3 linked regions of the Oryctolagus cuniculus genome follow. The protein of the gene in region 3 purifies or fractionates together with the protein of the main gene of each other region. This does not show direct contact. Links are inferred from orthologs where the notes say so. Each region holds a gene or a part of one and is shown on either strand. Other genes may lie near its edges.

The links.
Region 1: the proteins of DERL2 (region 3) and VCP purify together in Homo sapiens (affinity purification with western blotting; 4 studies listed by BioGRID and IntAct, with this or other methods). This does not show direct contact. The link is inferred for Oryctolagus cuniculus from reciprocal best matches to the Homo sapiens genes DERL2 and VCP.
Region 2: the proteins of DERL2 (region 3) and OS9 purify together in Homo sapiens (affinity purification with western blotting; 3 studies listed by BioGRID, with this or other methods). This does not show direct contact. The link is inferred for Oryctolagus cuniculus from reciprocal best matches to the Homo sapiens genes DERL2 and OS9.

What each region holds. Positions count from the first base shown.
Region 1 is NC_091432.1:198,028,649-198,032,294, reverse strand, and holds part of VCP (transitional endoplasmic reticulum ATPase), read left to right. Parts: intron 1-308; coding exon 309-439; intron 440-1,815; coding exon 1,816-1,947; intron 1,948-3,646. UniProt on the Homo sapiens protein: Necessary for the fragmentation of Golgi stacks during mitosis and for their reassembly after mitosis. Involved in the formation of the transitional endoplasmic reticulum (tER).
Region 2 is NC_091442.1:60,274,860-60,278,605, reverse strand, and holds the start of OS9 (protein OS-9), read right to left. Parts: upstream 2,680-3,746; 5' UTR 2,617-2,679; coding exon 2,455-2,616; intron 2,048-2,454; coding exon 1,871-2,047; intron 1,105-1,870; coding exon 1,041-1,104; intron 931-1,040; coding exon 854-930; intron 620-853; coding exon 521-619; intron 1-520. UniProt on the Homo sapiens protein: Lectin component of the HRD1 complex, which functions in endoplasmic reticulum (ER) quality control and ER-associated degradation (ERAD).
Region 3 is NC_091448.1:50,846,209-50,849,954, forward strand, and holds the start of DERL2 (derlin-2), read left to right. Parts: upstream 1-1,342; 5' UTR 1,343-1,491; coding exon 1,492-1,584; intron 1,585-3,146; coding exon 3,147-3,212; intron 3,213-3,746.

The sequences.
Region 1 (3,646 bases), on a different chromosome or scaffold from region 3:
CCACAGTCCAAAATGTATAGCTGTACAATTGGTGGTTGTAGTAAGAGCTTGAGCTGTCTGTACCTCAGAAGTTAAAACTTTATGGGCTTAGGACACATCAGGTTTTATTCATTGCGCTCTTAAGTAACAGTGGGACTTTTTAGGGATTAGCTTTTTAACTCTTGCTGTGTGCTTACTAAGACAGTGGAGGGTGGGCAGGGAGCTAGGGCTATGTCTAGTGAACTTGGTAGTTTAGACCTCAGGATCTCTTGAGAAATTCTCAGTCTTCTAGTTAACACTTCTAACTGTGCTTACACTTGTTCTTTTAGGAGACATTTTCCTTGTCCGGGGTGGCATGCGTGCTGTGGAATTCAAAGTAGTGGAGACAGATCCCAGCCCTTATTGCATTGTTGCTCCAGACACAGTGATCCACTGTGAAGGGGAGCCTATCAAACGAGAGGTGAGTTTTCTCTGTGATCCCAGCACTGATTCTTATTCTTATTCAGTGAGGCAGTCATGTTTCAGCTTTCAACACATTTTGGAACTAATTGGCTTTCTAGAGGCTGGAAAGTTCCTATCCACTTACTTCTTGGCCTTGTTTTTTCTTTCTCTTATTTTTTAATTTTTGACAGGCAGAGTTAGAGAGAGAGAAAGAGAGAAAGGTCTTCCTTTTCCATTGGTTCACTCCCCCAAATGGCCACCATGGCTGGCTGCACTGATCCGAAGCCAGGAGCCAGGTGCTTCTCCTGGTCTCCCATGCGGGTGCAGGGCCCAAGCACTTGGGCCATCCTCCACTGACTTCCCGGGCCACAGCAGAGAGCTGGACTGGAAGAGGAGCAACTGGGACAATCTGGCGCCCCAACTGGGACTAGAACCCGGTGTGCCGGCGCCGCAGGCGGAGGATTAGCCTACTGAGCCGCGGTGCCGGCCTCTCTTTATTTTTAAAAGATGAAAGAGTAAGGGGAGACAGCTTCCATCTACTGGTTCACTTCCTAGATGGCTGCAATGGCCAGCGCTGGGCCAGGCTGAAGCAAGGAGCTTCATCTAGATCTTCCATGTGGGTGGCAGGGGCCCAAACACTTGAACCATCTTTCTCTGCTTTTCCCAGGCCATTAGCAGGGAGTTGGATTGGAATTGGTACAGTGGGGATACAAACTGGGGCCCATATGGGCTGCCGGTGTGGCAGGTGGCAGCTTTAACCCCCTGTACCACAATGCTGTAGTCCCTGCTATACCAGGAATTTTTGTTGTTGTTACTGGTGTGTTTTTTTTTGTTTTGTTTTGTTTTGTTTTGTTTTGTTTTGAGAGGCAGAGTTACAAAGAGAGAAAGAGACCTGCCATCTGCTGCTTCACTTCCCAAATGACTGCTGATGGCTAGGGTTGGGCTGAGCTGAAGCCAGAAGCCAGGAACTCTATCCAGGTCTTCTTCCATGTGGTGGGCAGCGGCCCAAGCGCTTGGGCCATCTTCTGCTGCTTTACCAGGCACATAATGCCAGGAGTTTTAAAAATATAGATGAACCTGAAAGATAGAAGTCACTGGAATAACTGTTGAAGTAAAGCTGATGATATCATCCAGACCTCTTCTTATTCCTAGGGTTCACAGCTGCAGGTTTTAGGGAACCATTCCCAGGAGGACTCGGAGCAGTGTGAGAGGGAAAGGCTGTGCTAGAAGTCTTTGCTTTGGAAGTTTTAGTTGTTCTTTGAGCCATAATAACTTTAGCGGAGACTCTTCTTACACAGCAACATTTCCACACCATATTACTAGGATGATTTGGAAATACTCAGCTTCTGGTAATACAGTATTCCTGTCATGTTTCTTTGTCTCTTCCATGTTCAGGATGAGGAAGAATCCTTGAATGAAGTAGGCTATGATGACATCGGTGGCTGCAGGAAGCAGCTAGCTCAGATAAAGGAGATGGTGGAACTGCCCCTGAGACATCCTGCACTCTTCAAGGCAATTGGTGTGAAGGTGAGCATCCCAGGTGCTGGGTATCAAGACTAGAGTGGTGATTAGTGACTGACTATTCATTGTCATCCTGGAATGCTTTTATGCATGGCTTTCATTATTTGCCTTGGATTAGAGGGCAATAATATATTTTTTGGCCTAATAGAAGACTCTAAATTCATTAGGGCTACTGATGGTCTAGAACAGAGCAGATTGAGTTCTCTGTTGCATATATTTTTATTTTTTTATAACTTGAAAAATGTAAAATTAATTGTTGTGTCGTGGCGTGTACTAAAATTCTCACAAGAATCTACCCCCATTTCTATAGCATGGTCACCAATAGAAGGGAATTCTGTGCAGTGTAAAGGGTCCTGAGTCCAAGACATTAGAGATGCACTGGTCTACAGTGTAGCTTTCTGACCTTTTCTATAGGTGGTACATGCTGAAGGTGAAATTACTGTTTTGCCTAGTAAGCATTATACAGATAATTTCCTGTTCCATGTGGGCATTTTCTTTTTGTTTATTTCTTTATTTATTTTTAAAGATTTATTTATTTGAAAGAGTTACACAGAGAGAGAAGGAAAGGCAGAGAGAGAGAGGTCTTCCATATGCTGGTTCACTCCCCAAATGGCCTCAGTGGCTAGAGTTGAACCGATCCCAAGCCTGGAGCTTCTTCGGGTCTCCCATGTGGGCGCAAGGGCCCAAGGACATGGGTCATCTTCTACTGCTTTCCCAGGCCATAGCAGAGAGCTGGATCGGAGGTGGAGCAGCTGAGACTTGAACCGGTGCCCATATGGGATGCAAGCAGCCTTACCCACTACGCCACAGTGTCAGCACCCCCCCCCCCCCCATAGGCATTTTCAATGTCCTGCCTGTGGATAAGGCCACAGAAGAGAGCTTCAAAGAGGGAAACTTGAGGTTTACTCTAAAGATAGCATTCCAACGTGAAAATAAATCCTAGAAGGCTGTGATTACTGGAGTGAGTGAGCCTCTGGCAGTGAAGAGGATAGAGCCTGCTTTCTTAAATGGCTTCATATTTGGACCTTCATCTTTCTAAAATTGAGCCCTTGGCTCTCAGTTTTTTAGGGTGATTTATCTACCCTTAGTCTTTTGTGCAAGTTATACTCATAACTGTCGGTAGCTTCCTGGCAGTGGTTTCCCTGTTGGTAACAGGAGTACATATGGCCAGAGGTAAACTAAAGGTTTATTTTTCTGTTTTTAAATTGAGTTGGGAAGATCAGTTTAAATATTTATTTATTTAAAAAAAATTTTTAAAGATTTATTTTATTTATTTGAAAGAGTTACACAGAGAGGGGAGAGGCAGATAAAGAGAGAAGAGAGGTCTTCCATCTGTTGGTTTAGTCCCTAGATGGCCGCAACAGCCAGAGCTGCACCGATCTGAAGCCAGGAGCCAGGAGCTTCCTCCGTGTCTCCCACGTGGGTGCAGGGGCCTAAGGAATTGGGGCATCTTCTACTGCTATCCCAGGCCATAGCAGAGAGCTGGATCGGAAGTGGAGCAGCTGGGATTATAACCAGTGGCCATATGGGATGCCGGCACTTCAGGCCAGGGCTTTAGCCCACTGTGCCACAGCGCCGGCCCCTAAATATTTATTTTAATTTTATTTGAAAGGCAGAAAGATTTTACATTTCTGATTAACTCCCCAAATGCATCATCTAAGGTTGGGCCAGGCTAAAGCCAGAAACCTAGAACTCAATCTAGGTC
Region 2 (3,746 bases), on a different chromosome or scaffold from region 3:
AAAAAAAAAAAAGAGGCCGTTGGCTGCAATACAGGTACCAACCACAGAAAACAAAAGGTGAGTTTTAAGATACGCCTAGAATGAATGGGCTGTGTTATTCATGCTGAGAGAATTAGACTCCTTTCCTTCATCTTACTTCTTTGTAATCTCAGATTCACTTCTGCAATTCAGACTGCATATCTCACGAGGACAGGGGCTGCACACTCACCACTGCATTCCCACGTGGCCCACAAACATGGCAAGACCCCACTGAGGAGTTGGTTAATGACGACAGGGGGCTCAACGTGGAGCAGGAGTCAGGTGACAGGAAGGACAAATGTGGGGGGGTGCAAGGACGTGGTTGGGGCACAGACGGAAGATCTGGGAACTACTGGCCTGAAGGGCATGTGGATAGCCGGCACTGAAACAGGCGGCTTACCCCTTCGGGTTTAGGGCCTGGGAGAGCCCCACCTCACTGTCCCAGGCCAGCCTGCCCTCCTCCTCTAGAAGGGGAGCTGTCACTGAGGGAGTTAAGACTCACCCGAACCTCAGCCTCCCGGGGCCTCCCATTGAGGTCGCACTTGGACCCGTTGCCATAGGTCTGGCTGTGGTAGCGTTTCAGGCGATGCTGCTTGGAGGCCTGGAGAAGACATCGGGCCGCAGGGAGAGGGTGTGAGAAAGACGGCAAAGAGAAAGGATGGCACCCCGTCCCTGCTGGGACCTTGAGACCTCAGAACCCTGGCCCTAGGGCACTGGGTCCTAGTGGCCAGCAAGGCCCTAGAAAGTCGTCGGTGAACCTGACCCTCCCCTTCTCTCCAGATCTTTCATCCTGCAGCCCAAAGCCCTTTCTCCTCCAGGCCCAGGCTCCCGCCACCTTGGCTGTTTCGTCATCCCAGTCGAAGGCCGATTGGTAGTAGCCGAGATACAGGACTTCACCTTTGATCTCTGAATCTGCAAGAGAAGCCACAGGGAAGCAGTTACTGTCTTCTAAGAGGAGGCAGCGGGAGGAGGGCTGGGGAGGCGGCCACCTTCCACACAGGGGAAACGGACGAGCGAGTCACCTTCCATGTGGTACTGCTGGATGTGGCGTCCATAACAGAACTCGTACGTCCACCAGTCTTTGGTCTGCCAATTACAAAACGAAGAATGGGTGGGCCCAGATGCAGATGTCTCTTCTCGGAACCAGCCCTGGGCTCCAAGACACATAACCTCTTGTCTACTTCTCATCTCCCTCCACCTCCACGCTCAATTCTCCAGCCCCTCACTGAGAAGGAAGAGCTGTTTTCCTTCTGTGACACAGAGAACCCCAAACTCTGTTCTCTGCCTGGGATCTCCCACCTTTTTTGTTTTCTTCCAGATTTTGTTTTTAATCCTTTGCCTTCCATAAAGATAAGGAATCGTGTTATCCTTGAAGCACTCAGAGCAAGTCAACTAGCACTCCTGGCACTATGCTAAGCACCCGGAAGGCAGCCATGAGCAAGACCAAATGACCTCATGGAGCCACATTCTAGAGCTTGGGAGTCAGACCAAAAATAAACAAACTCATTCAGTTAATATTCATCTCCTGAAAAGTGCCATTATAATAAAAAAAAAAAAAAAGTGGGATACTGTGACGAGTGACAGAAGGGGCTGACTGCAGGAGGTAGGCTTCCCCGAGGAGCCGCCCCTCCTGTGCCACAGTGACACCTCCTAGTCTGAGATCGGCCGTCCCGTGTCTCAGGTTGCAGGAGTCTGCTTCTTTCCTGGCTGTGTTACACGCCCACAGGTGACCACTCCCGGCCTTCTAAGCTCCTACAGGTTCCCCAGGTCCCGCTCGCACTCGTTGGCACCGCAGCTGTCAGAGCGGCTGCCGGTTCCCAAGCCCGCGCTCCGTCCCCACAGGCCGTCTCACCTTGAGCAGGCAGGGAGCATCTCTCATGGGGCTCAGCAGCTCCGGGATCCCAGGCCCTTGGTACGCGGGTGTCTCCTCCTCCCTCTCCCGCTGGAAGTGGATAGCTCCAGCGGGCAGGCGACACTCGTAGCGCTGTTTGTACTTGGAGGAGACGATCACCACGTCCGAAGCTTGGTTCTGGGAAAGAAGGGAAGGTCGGGGGCTCCGACGCAAAGAGAGGCTGCGATTATAGAAAACACCCGGATCCCTCTGCGGACCCTGGGGAGGAGCCCAGGCGGCTACAGAAGGAGCCAAAAGGCCTCCGTGGTCTGGGGGGCACTCCCACTTCTCCACGGAGGCGGAGACTGGGTGTTGCACCGTGAACCCCGACCTGCAGGCTGACAGCTGGAACTCCTCTCCCCCCAGGCCCCGGGCCCCAGGGAATGGGTCTCAGGCTGCGATCACCAGGAGTCACTGTAACAGCCCTACCTACTCTTCCCGATCCCCTTAGGCTCCCCCCAGCCTCCGCACCTGCCTTTCTTTCTCTACCTTCTCTCCTCCTTCCTCTTCTACCTCGGACCCTCACCCCTCACACGCCTTCTCACCTGCCCTCCCAAGACTGGCAATGGCAGGATCTCGATTCCATAACGCATTTCACTCAGCTCCTCCAGGTTCAAGCTCCCAACACCGCCGGTCAGACTTGCAGGTAACAACAGCCCCAGAAGCAGCAGCCCCAATAGGCTGGACAGCAGCGTTTCCGCCGCCATCTTTCGTTCCCCTTCTTAACCAGAGAAGCTCCTTCCGCCCTAAACCTGGCAGCGGCCTCACCCCTCCCACTAGCGCCGCAAGTTCTCATTGGCTACACGTTCTGTCCCTCTCACGTACCTGATTCCCATTTGTAAACGTGGCTCCAAAGTTCCCGGGGAGGTGGACCACGACGATTGGCACAATCAATCACTGCGCGTGATTGGCCAGAGATGCCAACCAATCAACGACGAGATTAGACCCCCACCCCTTATTCCCCCAATTCCATAGAGGCGTGGTCTTGCCCTGGGCGCTTTTTGGCAGCTTTTCGCTCTCCTCGGCCAGCTGTCCCGCGCATCTCTGCTTAGCGTATTTTTTAGACGTTTCATGCAAAGTGTCCCGCCCCGCGCAGAGCGGAGTACTGGGGCTGACGGATAGGTGTGTGCGATACCCGTGGAAGTTAATGAACACTTTTTGCGAAACAAGCGATTATTAGAATCATACCTCATTTCATATATACACTACTTCAGGGCAATCAGGTAATTTGTGTCAGACTTTCTGCACGATCCTGCAGTTGTTCTCCAATAAAATGATCCTAAAGGAATCACGGGAGCTGTCAGTGAAAGACGGAGTAAGGTGCTAATGCACGTATTATTGTAAAAGAAAAAATAAACACACACCAAAGAACAAAGAAGGAAAGGAGGCAGATGCAACGTCTGCGAAGCTGGAAAGCCGGCAGAGGAACGGCAACCGGCTTAGCAGAATGAGAAAATCGGCCCCTAAACAAAGGTAAACATGAGCATGGTGCCGCTGGAAAACGTTCTCTGGGGAATTTCTCCAGCACAAAAGGAAAATCCCAAAGAGAAGCTGTCGCAGTGAGGCACACAATCCCACAGGCAAGCCCCAGCCCTGAGCTGACTCCAATCTGCTTGTTGACCTCCTCGCTCTTAACACAGCCAGGCAGTGTCCTTAGACGTTCAAGGAAGGACTTTAAAGATACAAGAGAGAAACAAAACCAAGCAAGCAAAGAGAAAAAAAAGCAAATTAAAGGTAATAAAGATTAGGGGAGGGCAAAAATAAGACAAATATTTTAAAATTTAAAAACCCCACCATCTGTAGCCTCAGAAAGGTGAAACAGTGTATCCATAAAATG
Region 3 (3,746 bases):
CACTCGCAGCACGTAAGTAAGTTTCTCTCATATCTTTGTCAGCCCTTGACAAACTCAACATTCTACCTGTTGCCAATTTGGTATGTGTGAAATTGCTGTATATTTTCAAAAACCAAAACACCTAGCCCCACACACTGGTCGGACACTACAAACTACCTACATCTCTCTCCCCAGGCCCCCGATGTCTACACTACTCTGAGTTTACTATTCTGAGAGTAGGACAGTCTCCTTATTCAAACGGCTGGATCATTTTGAACTCCCCCAAAGACGGACCAAAGCTTCGACAGGAAGCACGGACAATCTGCACCCTAAGATTCTCTGAAATCCTTGCCTGGCCATTTCCAACAATCCTAGACTGTTTTATCAAGCCCCTACACTGAAAGACCCACCCTTGAAGCAAACCTTCCATTTAAAAAAAAAAAAAAAAAAATCCGATCTTGCTTTTCTTCTCTACCAGGCACGGCCGAAGCTCTGTCGAGGTTCCATCACTGTTTTATCAACAAGCCGTGAGGGTGATGCTCGGGGGGGGGGGGGGGGAGGGTTTCACCTGCACCCTGGGAGATGCAGGTGATGGCTCAAGTACTTGGGTTCCTGCTACCTACATGGAAGACCCAGATGGAGCACTGGGCTCCTGGCATTGGCCTGGCCCAGTTTGGGCTGTTTCAGACATCTGGGGAGTAAACTAGCAGATGGGAGATAACTGTCTGTCTCATCTTTCTGCTCTTCAGTAAATAATATTTCACATCCTTTATAGAAACCACCCCAGCCTTCTATTTGATTCCTTTCTAAAGAGCCCGCAACCACGCCGGACAAGACCCAGAAGCCACAGGGCAGGAACCACTTCCGGCCGGAGCCCGCATCCCGTCGGGCCCCGCGGCCCCGCGGCATGCCGGGACCTTCAGGTAGGAGCTAGCGGCCAGGCCGGCGGCGAGGCGGACCCGGCAGGCCGCCCCGTCGCCCCCGCTAGGATGCCTAGTCCAGTCCCGCCCCTTTTCCGCGCTTCCTCAGAGAAAATGCAGCCCCGTGGCACCTACCGTTGCGGCCTGCAGGGCGATGAGGTCCACCAGACACCGACTTCCCGCCACCTCCTTTAAACTACCGCTAGCTGCCGGAGATGGGCGGTGGCGAGAGCTGACCCAAATGCGGACCGGTGCGCGCCTCCGCGAACGAAAGCAAAGGCGGGATGCTGTCCCTCTCCTGATTGGCTGGCTGTCCGGTCGGGCAGGGGCATCCTGATTGGTGACGGAGAGGGGTCAGGTGGGAAAGCTAGCTGTGGCCAGCGGGGATTGGCAGAAGGTACCGACACTCAGTCGCTTCTCGCTGACGTCAGTGGGCGGAGAAGTAAGGCTGGGACGCCACGATTGGTAGCTGGCTGATTGCGCGGCGCTCATTGGACAGGAGCGAATAGGCTACCGCGGGCGCTAGGAGCCCGCCCCGGCGCCCGGGCCTATTGGCGGAAGGGGAAGTGGGGGGCAGGCGGCGGTGGGGAAGATGGCGTACCAGAGCCTCCGGCTGGAGTACCTGCAGATCCCACCGGTCAGCCGCGCCTACACTACCGCTTGTGTCCTCACCACCGCCGCCGTGGTGAGCAGCTGCAGAGCCACCTTCTAATTATCCGGGCTGAACATGACTGGGTCTCGCGGAAACTGGAGTTTGGGCTTCGGCAGGCCCGGAAGGGGCTGGTCCCAGGGGTGGGTGGAGGTCTACCAGGGCTCACTCTGGGTTGCGGAGCGACCCCAGGAAGATGTGCGGATCCCTGAGGGGTCGTGTCGGTTTCCGAGAGCGAAAAGTCGGACCAATAGCGGGTCAGAGCTGCGGGCGCCGCCCACCCAGGAGCTCCGGCGCTGGCCAGGTGGTAGCGCGGTGGTGACTGGTGGGACGCAGATCCGCGTAGCGAAGAAACTTAAGTATTGAGGCTAGAAAGTTGAGCATTGTAGGGAGGGAAATGTCTTAAAATAAAGAAGGGATTGGCCGGAGGAACAGTGGCAAGGTCTCCAGGGTTGGTTATTTGCAGGCACTGCCTTGTGTCACCCAGCTGTTGGAGTTGGCGCCCGTGTGATGAGCAGATTCTTAGCAACTGCGCCCAACTGTCCTGTGTCTAAAATATCACCGCCTGCCTGCCTCCCTTGTCGGCCTCAACTGTTGCAATCTAAAACTATTTTTTAAGACCTTCATTTGTAAATTCCTTTTCTGCCCCCTTTAAGCATTTTTATTTATTTATTTTTAATTCCAGAGACAGATATTCCATCTGCTGGTCCCCTCCTTAAATGCTGGCAACAGCCAGGGCTGGGCCAGACCAAAGCCAGGAGCCTGGATCTCAATCTGGGTCTACCACCTTGGCTGGCAGGGACCCAAGTACTTGGACCATCAGCTGCTGCCTCGCAGGGTGTACATTAACTGACAGCTGGACTCCAAAGCAGAAGCAGAACTTAAACTCAGACACTCTGATAATGGGATGTGGGTGTCTCATGTCATCTGCGGTGCCAGATGCCCACCTTGCAGTCTTTCCTTTCTAAAAAAAAAAAATTTTTTTTAAAGACTTATTTGAAAGGCAAAGTTACAGAGAGAAGGAGAAACAGAAATCTTTCACTTGCCAGTTCGCTCCTCTAATGGCTGCAACAGCCGGAGCTGGGTGGGTCCAAAGCCAGGGGCCAGGAGCTTTTTCCGGGTCTCCCACTTGAGTGCAGGGGCCCAAGGACTTGGGCCATCTTCCGCTGCTTTCCCAGGCCATAGCAGAGAGCTGCATTGTAATGGAGCAGCCAGGACTCAAACCGGGGCTGCTTTCCCAGGCCATAGCAGAGAGCTGCATTGTAATGGAGCAGCCGGGACTCAAACCGGGGCCCACATGGGATGCCAGCGTCTCAGGTGGAGGCTTCACCTATTACAGCACAGTGTTGGCCACCGTAAGAATTCTTACTTACACCTGGTCGACCCCAATCTTTCTAGTTTTGTATTATGTGTCAAAGAGCAAGAATTGTATCAATGTAGGGAATTCTTTACCAACCCTTTCTTCTGGCCCAAGAAGAAACACTTAAAGGAATTCAACCTGAGTGACTAAGAATTGGAATTTGTTACATCCTTTGTTATAAAGGATGGAATTGTGTTTCTTGATTGACGTGCTGAAAGCAGCTCTTTTTTCATTTCAGCAGTTGGAACTGATCACACCTTTTCAGTTGTACTTCAATCCTGAGTTGATTTTTAAGCATTTTCAAGTAAGTAGCCCAATGCAACTGTGAGGAATGGTCCCGTTTCTTCTCTTGCTTAATGTTTCGTAGCAAACCCTATCATATGCTGTCTCGAAAAATAACCCAGTGAAGATCTTTGACTTTAAGTCTGGTGAAGCAGCGATTCTGCAGCTTCACAGAGTCCCCTCAGGGTCACTTAGGGAACTTTTAAGAGATCCTCACACTCCTCATCGCGTAACCAAATCACAGTCAGCAAGGGTAGGAACTAAAAACCTGTATGCTTGTGATGGGTCTAGCTTCTGTATTTGTGTATCGCTGGTTTACAGTTAAGTGTTAGTAGTTTGGGAGGAGTCTGATGAGTCTCATGGAGTGACCTTATTTTGTTCATTCCCTACCTTGGCACAGCCACCACTTTGGTGTTTTCGCCATGGGCCAGTTCAAAAATTGAGTTGTTAGTGCTTTAAAAAATTGATCCATTTTCCAGGGGTCAGATCATGCTAACAAAACTCCAAAGAGCCAACATCTAAAACACCATGCTAGTTTATTAGATGACGGGGGAGT